Rhinolophus ferrumequinum: one gene and its partner. The protein of the gene in region 1 interacts with the protein of each later gene in a pairwise test. Links are inferred from orthologs where the notes say so. Each region holds a gene or a part of one and is shown on either strand. Other genes may lie near its edges. The genes, in order: TARBP2 and ZNF346.

What was found.
Region 2: the proteins of TARBP2 (region 1) and ZNF346 interact in binary tests that used the Homo sapiens proteins (3 or more experiments, as listed by UniProt). The two-hybrid records come from large-scale screens. The link is inferred for Rhinolophus ferrumequinum from reciprocal best matches to the Homo sapiens genes TARBP2 and ZNF346.

The regions. Positions count from the first base shown.
Region 1 is NC_046293.1:53,363,640-53,372,351, reverse strand, and holds the start of TARBP2 (RISC-loading complex subunit TARBP2), read right to left. Parts: upstream 3,294-8,712; 5' UTR 2,941-3,293; coding exon 2,888-2,940; intron 2,330-2,887; coding exon 2,160-2,329; intron 1,378-2,159; coding exon 1,275-1,377; intron 698-1,274; coding exon 602-697; intron 33-601; coding exon 1-32. UniProt on the Homo sapiens protein: Required for formation of the RNA induced silencing complex (RISC). Component of the RISC loading complex (RLC), also known as the micro-RNA (miRNA) loading complex (miRLC), which is composed of DICER1, AGO2 and TARBP2.
Region 2 is NC_046307.1:5,566,838-5,576,036, forward strand, and holds the start of ZNF346 (zinc finger protein 346), read right to left. Parts: upstream 3,851-9,199; 5' UTR 3,821-3,850; coding exon 3,646-3,820; intron 1-3,645.

The DNA of each region.
Region 1 (8,712 bases):
AGACGGGGGGCTGCACCTCCATGGGGGTGCTCCTAAGGGAAAAAGGGCCCGGAGCCAAAGCTGAGGGAGCTCGTTCCTTCTGAGGCTGCCCATGAGTCCTAAGCCTTGTTTTGCTTTTCCCCACTACCATCTCCCTACTTCCCGCCAGGCAGTCAGCTGTTTGTCCAAACATCCAGACTGCTTCCTTCCCCCTCCCCCACAACTGAGGTCTCCTCCAGGTCCCAGGCCCATTTCGATTTTCTAGAACACTTGATCGTCACCTCGCCAGGACAGTGGGAGTGGGGCTGTATATCCAGTCCCTGGAAGCACCTGATGGGACTCAAACACAGGACTATCATGGGGCCAACTCAGAAGAAAATGGTACCTGCAAGACCCTTAAACATAGTCAAACATCATCCATATGGCTATTTAAAAATCATTAATTACATCCTCTCCCAAGAGCTTACCAGCTAGTGCAACTTCTTCCATGTCTGGTCCCCAATTACTCCAGACTCTGTTTATTCTCAAACTTCCTCATGCCTGGCCAGCCTGGGTCCAAGGGCTGAGGACCAACAGCCAGGACCCTTTCCTCCCCCCTTCAGGCAGTCAGGAGACAAGATACCTGGTTGGGACAGCAGATGGAACAGGAGTAGCAGCCACTGCAGCAGTAAAAACTGGAACGTCCTCAGGCAGTGAAGAGTCTAGGGGAGAAAAAGAACTTCCCGAGGGGAAGGGGGCCTTTGATTCACACCCATGTGGGGTGGGGGGAGTAAAGGAAGGGTGGGAGACCCAGGTCCTTCTGATCTGCCCATCCCCTAAGAAAAGTCCTTCCCACTTGAGCCAAAGACTCAGAGAAGCTCAACCACCAGCTCTTCCTCCTGGGATCCATTGCTGCCAAATTACCAGATCAAAAAGATAGAGAAAAGGAAAAGGAGGGTCTTTTTGTACCCAAGAACCATGGGAGCAACAATCTCTGACCTGAGTGCAGAAGAGGGAAGGACACCTTGATAGAGAGAGGAGGTATGTTGGGGAGCAACTCCCTCAGCCTCCACCCCTCTCCCTCCCTAGCCTGAGCCCCAAACCACAGTCCCTCAGTGGGGCTGGCCATTCCCCCCAGAATCCTTCACGGCAGCAGGAGCCCTGGAAGCTTCCTGCTCGAGTCCAGAGGAGTCTTAGGAAGAGGCCAGGTCAAGGTGGCTAAGTATCACCAGGCCAGGCCTAGTGGGCAGAGGGCTAGTGCAGGGGCCTGGGCTCTTGGCAGGGCCTCTAGGATGCCGCAGCTGTTCCTCCCTCACCTGCTGTCCTCCAGGGCCGGCTCCAGCATGCTCCCCCCTTTGAGGTGTTTGAGGGCCACCTCAGCTGCCTTGTGCTTGGCTGCCTTCTTGCTGGGGCCCTGACCTGAGAGAGGGGGTGTGGGCAATACTGGAGATCACTGGAAGGACAGAAGAGAAACCAGCATCCCACAGCCTCTCTCCCCACAACCACAGGAAGTCAACCAAATCCCTTCTCACCAACCTCCCCCCTGCCCAAGACTGGAAGTGTTACACTAATTGCTGGAAGGAAGGGCCCTTATCTTTCCATGAGCTCCCCAAATCAAGAACTGCTCCTGAGCTCAGACACCTTAGGTGGAGATTCTTTCTCTGCCTTACTTTCCTCTGGGAAGCACTTTCTTTTCTCTCAATAAATAGATGGCTGAAAAAATAGAGAGAGGGTAGGCTCTAGAGTCAAAGCCTGGCTCTGCCACTAACTAAGCATGTGAAGAAGTCATTGGATCTCTCTGAGCCTCCATCTCCTCAAATTCAACATGAGGATACCACCCCCTACATTACTGGATTAGACTGAGGCTTATGATTAAGTAGGAATTTGGTTAAGCACCTAGAACACAGCAGGCACTCCCCAATACTTCACTGCGATTTCCATTTATCTCCTCTTACTTTTTCCTCTAGGATGATGATGACCTACCAGGTCACGGTGGCAGTCCTGCTTGTTCCTCTAATTCTCCCAAGCCCTACCCACCTCCTCACAGACCTGTTCTCCCAATCCAGTCAGTGGCCTTTCCCCCTGAAAATTCTTTCCCTTACTGGCCTTTGAAGAAAAGTACTGTGAAGAGATTCCAAAAAATAAAGCCAATGGGGCCCTGTGAACGCACACCCCAGCTAGGCTGCCCAAGCCTTCCTCACCAGTGCAGCTGGTGTCGCCAACGGTGACCCGAAAGGTGAAATTAGGCTGGTGGGCTTGGCCCTCGGCTTTGAGAAGGTCGTACACGGGCGTCTTCCCTATTCTGGTCCCATACTCCTGCAGAAGGCTGATCGGGGTCTTGCCCGGGTTGGCTGCCAGCATTTGCTCTATACTGGGGTAGGGGCACAGACCCTCATCACACCTCCCCTCTCTGCACCCACCTGGCCAAGCACTGTTTTATCAGACCCAAGCACACTATGGGGAACACAGGGTCCACGGGACCCCAGGCAGTACAGCAGCCATTGGCTGGGTTCAATTTGGAGTAGAGATGCAGGCTGGGAAAGCAGGGTCCACTGCCCCGGGGCAAGCGGGGAATGCACTGTTCCTGTCTCAGTTAAGGCGGGGGATCCTGTACCAGAGTGCAGCTTGGAAGTGCACGTACCCTGACACAGTGCAGGCCAGGAACCCAGTACCCACCAAGTGTACTGAACGTCGGGGGGCATACAGCCCAGTGCCCTAGTGCAATCTGGGAGACTCGGCCAGCCCCAAATTGTTTCAAGCTAGAGACACTGGCCACTGCTCGGTGCATGCTGGGAACCACGGCCCACTACCCCAGTGCTTGCCGGGAAGAACCCCCAGGCCAGATGCATGCTGGGGCGGGGCCGCGCCGCTACCCCCCCAAATCGCACCACGCTCTTCGCCCTGCAGCGATCGGCACGAGGCGGCTCACCTGGGCAGCCCGCAGCCCGTGGTAGTGCCGGAGCCCTGCTCCTCTTCACTCATTCCCTCCTCCGTCCCCGCGGGCGCCACCGTGACTGCTGCCTCCACGCGCCCCAATACACCGCCAACGAGCTAGGGCCGGGGCCAAGCCCGGAGTCGCGGCCGGTCGGGCCCGCCGCGGGGCATGCTGGGATATGGAGTCCCCCGCCCACCCGATTCCTTGAGTCTCCATCAGGAGCTCTCCGCCCCACAACGCTCCGCGTGGTTCGCCCTCGCGGCCAGCACCTCCTTCTGGGAGGAGCGAATCTTTCTGCAGTCGCTTCCAGAGCTGAGAAGTGGTTTTTTTGTTTTGTTTTTTTAATATCGTTCCCGCCACCTTCCTTCCGCGTCTCCTCTCTCTTGGGCGGGCGCTGTGGGCATGCGCACTAGCTGAGTGGAAGCGACTGGGGGCGGGGTGGTAAGGGCTAACGAGTAGTGGGGGAAAGGGGCCTTCGACTCCTGAGAAAACTACAGAACCCAGGAGTTCGCGCGCCATCTTTGCCGCAGCTGGAGGGGCAGGGTCAGGCATGCACGAGAAGCTGCCCGGCGTAATTGGTTATTTCCGATTGCGATTACTTGCTCTAGGTGGATTGCGATTGGTTACTTCACCTAGAGGGCAGGGACAAGGAAAGTCATCTCCCTTGATCCTGCCTCTTTCTTGAGAAAAGGTTGTGATTGGTCTAGGGGCGAAACTGCTATCGGATCCTTCCTCTTTACAGGGTGGAAGGGTGGGCCTTACTAGGACGCGGGAGGGGACTGTTCTTAGCCCTCCTCAGAGCGCGGGGGCAGTTGTTCGTCCAGGTCCATCTCAGTTTCCGCCTCAGCCCTCGGCATAAGCCCCTGGCCCTCGGGCATTCGTGTCACAGAACCTGCTTTCTTTTCCTAAGTTGTCCTTCACTTCTCTTCCCCTTAACTGTGCCCCGCAGCCTGTCGGATTTACGCTTCTTTTTTAAAGCCTTTTTAGAATGGCCGTAGTGAACCTTTCTGTCGCTGGCCGGGAGACGTCCTCTGAAGCCTGAGGATGAGACTGTAGTGGGACGACAGAATTGGAAGGACTAATGGTGGTTCTGTTCTCTCTGCCGTGGGTCTTGGGGTTCTCTGGGCAAGAGAAGGTTTTTGGCCTCCTAAAACTAACCGACTAATCTGGCTGTCAGAGCATTCCCTCCTCCCCAAAGTCTCACAACCACTGGGCTGAAAGATAGGGGGAAATCTTGTGACCTTGGAGAGAAAGAAATCACGAAAAATGTGATTCTAATGAGTGTTCTGAGAATGGGTCAGGGACGACACGGCTTGGTCTGAGGTGGATATCCAAAGGAATTTTGGAATGATAATGAGGGGTCATCCAGGAACACGGGATGGGGACAGAGCACTGAGCTGAGTGGATTCCCATTGGGTGGAACTGGAGTGGTGACAATTAGGTGATGGAGAGCTAGCAAAATTAGTATGACAAGGAGAGCAACTCTAGAGCGGGGGGTAGGAGGGTGTCCCATCTGAGGGGCTACTGTCTCAGGGTATAGGAGGGAGTTTATAAGACCGGCCATAGGAGGCTCCTACGGAATCACCATAATGCCTAAGGTGGGACCGCCAGCAGGGAGGTGAGGGGTCCAGACGGGCCGCATCCAGCCTGGAGCACACCGGACGGCTGCAGCGGGCTCCTTTAAGAGGCCGACGGCTCCAGCGCAGCATCCCCGCTCAGGGCGTGTCCGTCCCGGGGGGCTAGAGGCAGGGGCCTAGGAAGGAGCGGGAGTTCAAGCCGAGTGGGGACGGGGCTAGGGGTCGGGGGGTGGGGGGAGAAATCTGGGGCGTACACCCGGACACTGCACGAGCATCGCCTGTGACAGCGCCCCGGGTCCAGTCGAGGGCAGCGGGGGGGAGGAGAGAAGGAGGAGGAGAAGGAGGTGGAGGAGGAGGCGGGAGCAGCATCCGGAGCCGAGCTGCAGCAGCGCCGCCTTTTGTGCTGCGGCCGCGGAGCCCCTGAGGTGAGAGCCGGGCCGAGTTGTGGGGGGTGGGTGGCAGGGATGGGTCCGGGTCCTGTGATCCCGGTGCCGAGGGAGGGTCGGGATGCAGATGTGGCGGGGTGGGGGAAGGTGGAACGGGGATGCTGAGGCTGTGGGGATGGAGGAACTGGGGACCTGGACCCGACGCCTGTGGGGGTGTAAAGGAGGGGAACGGAGCGGAGGGACACCGCGGCCCAGCTTGGAGATGAAGGGCCTGAAGAGCTGGAAAGGACTGCATGGGGTGGGGAGATGACTGGGGAACAGACTTAAAGGACAGCGGGAAAGAGACCATCCTCTTCTCCTCCCACTCATCCGCAAGAAGGGCGAGGGAAGGAGGAGGAAGAGTTTTGGTCCCTGAGAGGGAAGGAAAGGAAGGACAAGGCCTTATGTGCCCACTGAGCCCCTCACCCTCCTCCCACACACACTTATCGGGCTGCACCTGAAGATTATAGGCAAAAAGCACCTGTTCCTGGATGCCCAGGGATGGTCCTCCTCCCCTTCCCACTGTGAAGCCCCTAATCCCCTCCAGCTGTGGCATTCACCTCCATCCAGCTGTTGCATCCTCCCCTCCCCCATTCAGATGTGGCTTTCTCCTTCCTCCTCCTCTCCATCTCCTCTGGCGCCCCTAACCCATTTCCCCAGCCCAGGCCTTTCAGAACCTCCTCCCTTTTCCCCACACACTCCTTCCTCAAACTCCTTGGCTTAAAAATACGCAAGAATCCTTTCCACAGAGTTAAGACTCCTGATACCACGGCCTTGGCTGAGGGGAGGTAAGAGAAGGGGCCAGAGGCTCCACAGACAGTGGAAGGAAATAGTGGGGTGTCCTGCTCTCTTGGGGAGTGGGTGACTTACCCTCAACCAGGAGAGAGTGCACATGAGGTCTCTCCCCCACCCAGAGTCCTCTCAAGCCAGTCAGTGCCTCCCTCTAAACAACTCACAGCTCCCTTCCAACTTGCAGGGTGGACCCCGTGGTGCTGGGAGCTCTGATTTTCGGCCAGAGGGTTATACTAAGGGAAGAGGGTCATACCACGGGTAGGCGAGCAGAAAGAATTGAGGAAGGAAAGGGCCCAAGTGCGCCCTGGGCCTTCCTATCCAGACACTGAAGTTCCTCTGAGCTTTAGGGCCTGCTCTCTCCTACCTCACACTTAAGGTTGGAGAAAAGCAGCTGTCCTTTCAACCCTGCCACTCACCCACTCACAGTGGGGATGAGGTGATGCTAAGAAGACCAACGGTGTGATGCCTAAACTCCAGCACACATAAAAACACACAACTAAATATCCATCCCCTAATTAAACCCAGATATGGGCAGAGGAGGCAAGAAATTTAAGTAAGGAAGTGGCTCAGGATTTCCTGAGTGTCCTTACTGCTGAGGATGGAAGAACCCCTCCAAACACCAACTGCTGTCTCCCACTCCTTCCCCTAGAGGTGACATATGGTAGTCTGGCTTTGCTAGTACCCACCATCCTAGACTCACCTAGTGGCAAAATGGCTCACGTGTGCTCAACTATGTCTCCCCTGCCTGGGCTGGGGAGAAAGAAGGGATGAGGGAATCAACCCCTGCAGGAGTCCCTGCTGGGGCAGAAGGAGTAAAATGTGGAGCTGATGGAGTAGGGGACGCAGGGGCTGTGTCATGAGGGATTGGCCACAGAGACTGGTCTGTCGGCTTCATTTGCTCCCAGAAGGACTAGGGTCGTGTGTGTTGGAGGAGGTGATGAGGCAGGGACGCCATTGCAGATGAGACCCAGGCTCACCCAGGATAAAGAGCCCTCGTCCTTTGCCGTCTTCTTTCTTTGCTCTTTTTTCCCCTCTCGTGTTTGTCCACTTCCCTTTCCACTTGTACCCTCCCTACTGCCTCTTGCTCTGCAGAGGAGGAAAAGGGAAAGAAGGAATAGGAATCACATGTATAAAACCCCCACGAGTGCTTGTCAGGCACTTTCCACACGGCTAATGCTTAGAGAGGGCTTCCTGGGTGCCAAGTCCTGGGCCCAGAACTTTATTTGAATTATCTCAGTAATGCGCATAGCAGGACTAAGCATTAGGTAGTGTTATCATTGTCTCTATTTTAGCGATGAGGAAACTAAACTTAAGTAATCTGTTCAAAGTGAAAAAATCAGTATATAGTTAGAGCTTAGGGTCTGTTGGACCTAGAGCCTGTGTTCTTACCACATTAGACAGAGGGTGCCAAAACAATGTATATATATTTTAAGAAAGGGAAAAACTATTAAAATTGTAATATTCAATATATACCAATAACAAAAGATGAATCCAAGTCGTGTATATATTATATATTTTTTGGCCCCCCAGGTATATTGCATTACCACTGTGTGTCATAGGCATCACTGTCCCCACTGAGAGATGAAGGACCTGTGAGGTTTGTTAAGAAGTCTCATACTCCAGGTTGCCCAAATGGTCAGGAGCAGAGACAGGATGTCAACCAAGCCTCTGATTCTCAGGTTATCCACCCTCTCTCTATAGCACACTGTCGTCCCAAGCTATATTTTACTCTAAGACCCGGTATAATATAATAATATAATAATAATATTATTATATAATACTGGGTATAATCTAATAATAAAATAATATTATTATATAATACCGGGTATAATATAATATAATACCGGGTCTTATATTAATTTTTGCTCCAAAAGGCGCATTAGAGCTGATTGTCCGGCTAGGTCTTATTTTCAGGGAAACACGGGAGGTGATAGGGATGGATGGACACTCTTATTTTGACGTCCTCTTTTTCGATTTAAAATAGATTTTTAAATTTCTCATTTTAAAACAATTCAAAGTCATTACTGAAATAGTAGAAAATATAGATAAGCCGCAAGAAGATAAACAACCACCATTCTACCAACCTAGAAAATGTTACACTTTGGTATCTATCCTTCAAGATCTTTTTTTTTTTTAAGGAGGGCGCAGCTTACCATGGCCCATGCAGGGATCGATGGCAACCTTGGCGCTACCAGCACCATGCCCTAACCAACTGAGCTAACTGGCTGTCCCTCCAGATCTTTTAAAATGCACGTTCAGCTCAGGAACTATTTGTTCAAGTGCACTAAACTTCTTCAGGTTCTCCTGAGGTCCTGAGCAGGAGAGACCCTTCATGAGCCTATTGGCCCATCATATCTTGCTCCTACTTTCTCCTTCCCCTCAGAACTTAAAGGGTATGGCTGAGGGGTGGTCCTGGACCATGTTGGCAGGGGATGGGCTACAGAGAATTAGGCCTTCCCCCTCCGTCCAGAAGAGGTCCAGAAGAGGTGAGACTGCAGGATTTGCTGGGGAAAGAAGGATCCGGTAGCGGAATGACCAGGTGCTCTAACATTACTGCTGTTTAGGACGTGGTTACCCTGGAACCTGAAATCAAGATTTGTCTTGGGAAAGTAGAAGGTCAGAGACCAAGTCTCTTTTTCTGGTCAGACAGAAGACATAGCTTCTCCCAGAACCCACAAAGAAAGACCTGGAAGGCCAAGTGTTCAGGGCATTCCCTAGTCTTACTTAACCCTCACCACCCCAGGAGGTAGGATTGGGAGTCTCATAGAGGTTATATTCCTTAAGCTAATTTGTGGCAAAACTGAGGTTGTAGTTCTCATCTCCCCAAATTCAAACCTGACTTTTTTCTTTCCTAAGCAGTACTTCCCTCCTCTCCCCCAGCCCCTTCACTGCCCACCCTTCTGGAAGAAGATGTGGTGGCCACTGGGGGTCTCAGGGCTTGACCTGTGTGAAGCTGGGGACCTGGATTTAGGGATGATCTCCAGTTTTCCCCAGGTTCTCAGGAGAAGGCATTTCCCCCTCATGA
Region 2 (9,199 bases), on another chromosome or scaffold:
TAGAGTATGTATAAACAGAGTGGAGCTGAAATGAAATAATCAATCAATGAAATGAAAAATTCACTAGAGGAACTCAATAGGAAATTCAAAATGGCCAAAAGAAAGAATTAGTGAACTTGAAGATAAATTAATAGAAATATTTGATCTGAAGGAAAGAAAAAGAAAACTGAAGGGTGGCCGGTTGGCTCAGTTGGTTAGTGTAGTGCTCATAACACCAAGGTTGCTGGTTCAATTCCCACATGGGCCAGTGAGCTGCACCCTCCACAACTAGATTGAAAACAATGACTTGACTTGGAGCTGATGGGTCCTGGAAAAACATACTGTTCCCCTATATTCCCCAATTAAAAAAAAAAGAAAACTGAAGAATAACAAGCAGAGCCTCAGAGACCTGTGGGACACATCAAGCATACCAGCATATGTATAAGGGAATCTCAGAAGGAGAGAAGAGAAAGCAGCAGAAAAAAAAATATTTGAAGAAATAAGGCCTGAAAACTCCCCACATTTGACCAAAGAAAGACATTAATCCATATATCCAAATATCTCAGACCCTCAAAATAAAATAAATACCAAGAGATTGACCCCTAGACACATCACAGTCAAACAATTGAAATATAAAGACAGAAAATCTTGAAAGCAGCAAGAGAAAAATGACTCATCATCTACAGTGGAATAATTTGATTAATGACTTCTCATCTTGAAACAATGAATGCCAGAAGACATATTCAGAGTAGTGAACTAATCACTATGCTGTACATCTGAAACTAATATAAAAAAATAAAAATGGGGAAAATAGTGAAAAAGAACAAAACTATCAACCAAGAACTCTATGTCCAACAAAACTATCCTTCAAATCTTATGCTAAGTGACAGAAGCCAGTTGCAAAAGAACACATATTATATAATTCCATTTATATGAAATGTCCAGAATAGGTAAATCCATATGAACAGAAAAAAGGTTAAGCACTTGCCAGTGGTGACTGCTAATGGGTACAGGGTATATTTCTGGGGTGATGAAAATGTTCTGAAATTAGACAGTGGTGATGGCTGCACAACTCTGTGAATATACTAAATGTACATTTTAAAAGGACAAATTTTATGGTATATGAATCAGGTGTCAATAAAGCTGTTATTAGAAAAAAAATAACAACTATCCTTTATGAATGAAGACAAAATAAAAACATTCCCAGATAAAGACTGAGACAATTCATTGCTAGCAGGTCTGCCTTGCAAGACATACTTAAAATAGCCCTTCAGGCTGAAAGTGATACACGATAACTTGAATTCAGAGGAAAAAATAAAGAACATCAAAAATGGTAAATATGTGGGTTAATATAAAAGACATTATATATTTTTTTCTAACTTATTTTCTTCTTTAAAAAACATTGTATAAAGCAATAATTATGACAATGTTTAATTAGGTTTATAACATATATAGACATATATGACAACAACAGCACAAAGGAGGGGGAGGAAAGGAGTTACATTATAGGAATGCTTTTATATTTTACTAGAATTAAGTTAGTATTAATTTGAAGTAGACTGTGATGAGTCAAGATGCATCCTGTAGTCCCTAAAACACCACTAGGAAAATAACTTAAAAAAAAAATCAATAGGGGAACTAAAATGGTACACTGCAAAATACTTAACACAAAAGCCAGTAAAAGAGGAAAAGAACAAAACAAAAAGAAGATAAATACCAAAATGGAAAATGTAAATCTGGCCATAACAATAATTAAATTAAATGTGAATAGTCTAAACAGCTCACCCAAAAGGTACAGATTGTCAGAGGATAAAAGAAAACAAGATCCATATAATGGAATTCTACTTTCAATGAAAGGGAATGAAGTATTAATACACACTACAATTTGGCTGAACCTCAAAAACATGCTGAGAGAAGCCAAATGGAAAATACTACATTTGAATGCTGCCATTTATATGAAATGTCCAGAAAAGGCAAGTTTATAGAGACAGAAAAACAGTTCAGGGGTTGCCTAGGGCAGGAGGTAGGAGTGGGGATTTAAAATAAAGGAGCACAAAAGACCTGGAGTGATGGAAATATTCTAAAACTGGACTATGGCTACATAACTATCCTTTTACTAAAAATCATTGAATTGTATAATTACAATGGGTGAATTTTATGGTATGTAAATTCTAACTCAATGAAAGTGCTAAGAGAAGGAAAAAAAAAACCCAAGCAAGTAGAACTTGGGGTTACAGGTATCTACCTAAACCTCATATAAATATTGCAAAAGCGAAGAGAGTAGGGAAATGAACTGGGTTGTAAGCGACACTGTACATTCATATACACGGAAAGAGACAGTTCACTTTCCAGCACACAGCTGCTGGGTTGAGGACAAAGGTCACTTCCTCTTTTTGTGCATCCCCAACTCTTAGGCATTCCTCTCCACTGTTCCTACTATACATTAGACTGAAACTGTTTTGGTGTCTGCTTCCTGGACTAGACTACAGGTCCCTCCTGTAGGGCAAGGGCAGTCTTTTCCTCATCTCTGTAGTTCTGATGCTCAGCCAGTCTTGGGAGTAGAGCAGGCATCAGGAATGTTTGTCAAATTAATTAAAAGAAAACTGCCAGGTTGGGGCGGGGTGCAACTTTCTACCACACAAGTTAGAATGTATGAGGGACAGAGGGGGCACATAATAATTTAGGAGTCAGACTAGACTAGTTTTTAAACTGGAGAAATATACTAGGGTATACGTCTGTATACCATCCCAAATTGAAACATATGTAGTCCTGGATGTGGTCAAAAATTCCATTTTATCACAGGGCAATCAGCCCACAGGCAACATATTAAACTTTACAAGAAGAGGCTGCTCAGCAAGCAAACAAACCGTTACAGAAATCTGATTGCCCTGAAGATCACATGATAGGATTAGCATAGAAGCCCGTTTTTGTGCAGCTACCTCTGCTAAGGACTGTGAAGAGAGTCACACAACCAGGTCAGGCCAGCTCTTTCCATCTCCATCTTACCACTGCCAGGTAAAATGCAGAGCCAGCTGGGAACCTTCAGCGGAGAAGTGTCCCTGTTTCTCAGGCTCCTGGCCCCCATGTCAGAAAAGGGACCCAGTTGGCAGAGACCAGACACCTAAAAACGGGTAAACCAGGGCTCAGTCACCAAGGCCAGGAGGAACATGGGGGTAAGAAGGCTTTTAGAGCCCTTGGAAGTGTGGGGCATGAGAGTAGGGAGGCAAGAGACAGTAGGGCTGGGGGAGCCTGGAGACTGGGACGATGGAGAGTCAGGGAGAAACGGTGAGGGGGCTACGAGTCTCGGGTCTCCCAGAAGGCATGGAGAGGGATTCCAGTCCACGAGCTTGGAAAGAACTGCGCTCTGGTGGGTAAAGAATGCAGGGCAGAAAGCACTGGCGGCCTGAACTTGAGAAGGCCCTTGACCATTTGCACGCGGGGCCCTGATTCTTGGGGTGCCGCGGACTCGATTTTCAGGGGAGCTGGCCCACGGGCATGGGCCCGATGGAGTCCTCCGGCGCGTCACGCAAGTGGGCGGGCCAGGAGTTAGGGGGTGTGACCGTAGACCCGGGGGCTGGTCCGCGTTCTCGCCCCGGGCTTCCGCCACTCCCCGCGAAACGGGCAGGCGGGCTAGGGGCTTCCTGCCTCTGAGACCCTCGGACTCACCTTCCTCCCTCCCCACTGGTTGGGCCCCGGACACTGCTTCCCACAGGCGGCGCGCCCTCTCGCGGTCGAAGCGCAGCCGGTCTGGTTCCCGGCCCTCCCGCTCCTCCGAGATGTTGTATGGCCGGGCCCCTCCGCTGTCCGCGGCCTCCACCGTGCCCAACGCGGGATACTCCATCTTCCCCGCAACCCCTAACCGGCCGATAGCCTCTCCTGAACCTTAGTCTCGCGAGATGTGGCTGGGAGAGTGACTTTGCCGGGCCAACAAATCTCGCGAGGTTGGGCGGCGCAGACCGCGTTGCGGTGCCGGCCGGGGCTTTTTTTTCCTCGTTGCTGTTGGGACTTCGAAGCATCTGTTGTGGAGTCGGAAGTTGGTCGCCGGTTCCATAGCAGCCCCCTCCGTTTGGGACGGTATCCATCAGTCCTTGGCTCAGGGTTCTCACCTTGCTCACGGTCAGTCTTTGACACGTCTCATTTCGTTCTCGTGAGGCCCTGTTATGTGGGAATATTTTCCCCATTTCACTGGCAGGGAAACTGAGACCCGAAAGCTAGAAATGGGGGCCGGCCTGGTGGCTCAGGCGGTTAGAGCTCCATGCTCCTAACTCCGAAGGCTGCTGGTTCGATTCCCACATGGGCCAGTGGGCTCTCAACCACAGGGTTGCTGGTTTGGCTCCTCGAGTCCTGCAAGGGATGGTGGGCTCCATCACCTGCAACTAAGATTGAACACAGCACCTTGAGCTGAGCTGCTTCCTGGCTGGCTCAGTTGGTTGGAGTACATCCTCTCAACCACAAGGTTGCCAGCTCGATTCTCAAGTCCTGCAAGGGATGGTGGGCTGTGCCCCCTGCAACTAAAATTGAACATGGCACCTTGAGCTGAGCTGCTGCTGAGGCTCCAGGATGGCTCAGTTGGTTGGAGCGCGGCCTCTCAACCACAAGGTTGCCAGTTTGATTCCTCGTCTCCCGCAAGGGATGGTGGGCTGCGCCCCCTGCAACTAGGAACGGCAACTGGACCTGGAGCTGAGCTGCGCCCTCCACAACTAAGACTGAAAGGACAATAAATAGATTGTGAATGGCACCCTCCACAACTAAGATTGAAGGGACAACAACTTGACTTGGAAAAAGTCCTGGTAGTACACACTGTTCCCCAATAAAGTCCTGTTCCCCTTCCCCAATAAAATCTTTAAAAAAAAAGCTAGAAATGGTTTACTCAAGAGTTCGTTACTAGCAAGTGGTAGAGCCAGGACTCCATCTCCATGATTCTAATAGATACTGTTTGAGTTCCAAGTGTTAACCCCCAGACCTGAACTCCCTCTAAACTCCTCTCCAGCAGAACTGTCAAACTGAAATTCTGTCTTCCAATCCCACACTTGGCCCTCTCGCAGTCTCTCGGAGCCACCATCTCTTGCCAAGGTTGTTGTAGTGGAGTCCTCACTGGTTCCTCTCCTTACTCTTCAAGTATTCCCAGCACAGCAGACCCAGCGATCATCTCGGAACAAGCCATATCATGACACTACGGTGCTCAAATTCTCCAACACCTTATTTCACTCTTCAAAAAAGCCAAAGTCCTTAGTTTAGCCAACAGGACCCTACACAATTGACTTAACTTCCCTCATTTCCCATTGTGTTAGCCTCCAATCCCTTCATTCCTGTCCCAGTTACCCTGGCCTCCAGGATATAATTTCCCCCATGTGTCTTCATGGTTGTCTCTGATTTCCTTCTCTGGCTAACTTACCTAAGTTTTACCCCTTCACATACACTTCATATCCATTCCTGCTTTATTTTTATTCCTCCTTAACACTTACCATTATCAGATCATAGTTTATATTTTACTTTTTATCTTGTTTATTGTTTGTCTCCCCACTGAAAAGGCAAGCTCTTGGTTGGCTCAGTGGTTAGAATGCAGTGCTCATAACACCCAGGTTGCCAGTTCGATTCCCACATGGGCTAATGAGCTGTGCCCTCCACAACTAGATTGAAAACAACGACTTGACATGGAGCTGATGGGTCCTGGAAAAACACACTGTTCCCCAATATTTCCCAATTTAAAAAAAAAAAAAAGGCAAGCCTCAGAAAAGGAGAGATTTTTCTCTACTTCGTTCTCAGCTGAATCCCCAGCACTTTGAAACAGAGCCTGGACCCTCATGGGTACATACAAAATATTTGTTGAATGAATGAAACTTTTGATATAATTACCTTATTTCAACCTCATTTATTCAAATGTTTATTTAGGGTGTACTATTAGCTAGATGTTATTTTGGGCACTGGAATACAGTGGTGAGCTAGACAGATAGGGAAGCTCTAAGAGAACATTTTTTATTCTGGTTGAGGAGAGTGTAGTAAGTCAACAGATAGTAAAAAATGATAAGGAGAAATTAAAACAGTAAAACATCTTGGGTGAATATTGTGGAAGGAATATTAGAGTAGTCAGAGAAAAGCTCTGAAGAAATGACATTTGACTTAAGACCTGATTGATGAACATGGGATGGCCAACGAGCTTGGGAAGAGCATTCCAGGCAGAGGAAACAGCAGGCGCAAAGGCCCTGTGGCAGGAATGAACTTACTGTGTTGGAAGAACAGGAAAAAGGATAGTATGGCTGGAGCTCAGTGAACAAGGGGAAAAGTGGTATCAGAGGAGGCCAAAGAGAGATAGAGACAGAGCTATTTCTTGCCTGAGATCACACAGCTCATTACTGGGATTTACTCATTTATACTACAAATATTGAGCACAAACTCCGTGTCAGGCCTCATGCCCGGCTCTGAAACTTCCAGTGCCGTAGATGACTAATGTTTGTGCAGTGCTTTATAGGTTATGAAGCACCTTTAACAGACATTATAACATTAAATCCTCAAGGTGGTTCTCCAATGAGAGATACCTACGTATTTAACAATAAAGAAAAAGACTGGGAGAAGTGAAAGTTTTATCAGGGTCACATATCTGGTTAGTGACGGAGTTTATGTTTGAACACTGGTCCTCAGACTGTAAATCCATGGCAAAAATCCTTTTGCCAATACTGGATGACCAGCCTAAAAGCCAATGATTATACATTACTTATTTATCTTAAAGAAGATTTCTACTTATATTTGCATAGCATGAGTTATTCAGCTAGAAATCACAAAGGATACAGGGCATTTTTGTTAAAGTCCCAGAACTCACGAGGATATTTTTTAACACAATGGAGCAGCACATCCTGGGAGTGGAGTACTTAAGATGCGGTGTATATTGTAAAACAGTCTCCCTCCCCCTATTCTCAATCCAATTAAATGCTAAAAATTTACTATTTACTTTCTATTTACTTTCCAATGAATGCTGTCACAGTATGTCCCCTGTGCCACTGAGCAGAGTCCCGAGCTACAGCTCTGAGTTTCTGAACAGCCCTCACTATCACCAGTTTTCTGCTGTGCATTTGTGTAAGTCCTTCCAATAATGCCTAGGCCTGGACTCCTTGCTGGGACCTAGCAGTGCAGGTGATGACGCCTTATGTTTATGGGGCTGGTTTTTTATTTCTTCTTTGTGGAAAACAAGAACCATTTCCCAACATGTTCTATGTGTTGTTGCTATGGGAGAAGAACAATCCCAAGGAAATGGCTTTTCCAAGAGACAGGAATTGGCCACAGTTCAACAGATACTTCAGTTGGGTAAACACTCACTCTGTGTGCATGCGTGCACATGTGCATGGTAACCCACACTACAGAATTTAGTAAAATATAGTTCCTGCTCTCAGGAACATTAAACTCCAGACAAGAAAGTATCTACTGTATACTTAATATCTGAGAGTATGTTTTAACTGCTATAATATAAGTGATAACTGTTTTGATTGCACCCAGGATTTAATTTATAGAGGTGACTGAGTGATGACACACAAGTTCAATGCCATTGAAAGTTTAGTTATGGTTCAAAATAGAAGGGGAGCACACCACACCATGCAGGACTATATGAGGAAGTACCAGGGTTGTTCTGGAGGCAGAAGGAGAAAAGGGAGAGCAAGGCCCAGAGACTTTATTGTGGTTTCTGAAGGAAGGAATGTATGAGGCAAGGTAAGCAGTTTAGGATTGGCTAGTCTGAATAATTTCATCAGGCTCTGGGCTGTAGGAGTGGGTCCCTAGTTGTCTGGGGTGATTTAGGGCAGGGGGAATACTGACTTGGGGTGTGAGAGTTAAAGAGGTGGTTGGGGGTGTGGACTTTGGATTGGTTGGTTTACAAATAAAAGGTGTGCTTGAAGGCAGATTATTTGCTTTTGTTAGGAATTAGCTAACCCTGAGAGGGGCAGTTCTACCTTGGTCCACAAGGCCCCAATATATCAAAGTATCATAAAATACAGAAAATAAAACATGGTTAAGGTTAGTATGGATGGAGTAGGACAACAAAGCCCCAGTTGTGGGGATCATGATAGTATCTGGGTTACCCCATATGAGTCTTTCTACTTCTCAGCTCTGTGATCACATCTCTAGCTATTAGAGGTGGTCATAGATTAGATTTTACTAACAGGATGTGAATAAGTATTGTTTGGTTTAGAACCTGAGATTGACCTCAAATAGCTGGGGTGCTCCTGAGGAAGACTGTGGAACAGCCACACTCTGGGGATACATCTTTGCTGCAGTCTTTCTTGGGCTGGGTTATTTTGTAAGGTCTTCTGGCCTGCAGGAAACAATATCCTCAGGGGACGCCAGGTTTTAATTCAGCGCCTTTCCAAGGACGACTGAGGGTATAGGGGAGTTTGTTGATCACAGATTGGGATTTCCAGAGGATTCTGAGAAGGAGGGGTAAGAGGAGGGTTAGATTAGATTCATGTAGAGCTTCTCAACGTTTTCGGTGGCACAGCCCACTTAGGAAATAAGCATATCTGTGTGGAAAATTGGAATGAACAGATAAGGCTACTGCTTCTCATCACCCCAGTGGTGGTGCAGGGACTGTGATTCCAGGCTGTGTCGGGACACCCTTGGCAAGGCTGGAGGGGTGGATGTTCAGAGCTACGTGAGGTGCAATGGGTGGCTATGATGTATTGGACCCTGATGATATCTGAGGAGAGCAGGATGGGGATTAACTCCGATAATCTCTGAAAACAAACAGGCCGTCAGTTGAATCTGGGAGGCACTCATCTTGACATCAGCTGCTTCGTTCTGCACTCATGATCTATGATTTTATGTAAATTATTTAACATTTGTAAGTTTGCTTCTTCATCTGTAAAATGAGAAAATGGTACCCACTTTAAATGGTGATTGTGAAGATTAATGAAAATAATTCCCGTAAACTACATAACACATTGCCTGGCACATACCAGTTTATTCTGAAAGCTATATTTTTTCTGAAAATATAACAAATTAATGTTAGGTTCCAGTTTCATCTTGATGAAGACTGTATCAGCTAAACCACACTTTTCTCCATATTTTCTAGGACCAGTTTCAATTAATAGTCTGTGCATTTCGTCTAGTTTAATGTACCCAAAGAAATCTACAATGGCCTAAGATGATCCAACGCAGCTCTGTCATCTCTACTGAAGGATTGCCAAGATTGGCATAGATCTTGAACTGGCATAGTGGTTTGAGTCACATCTAATCA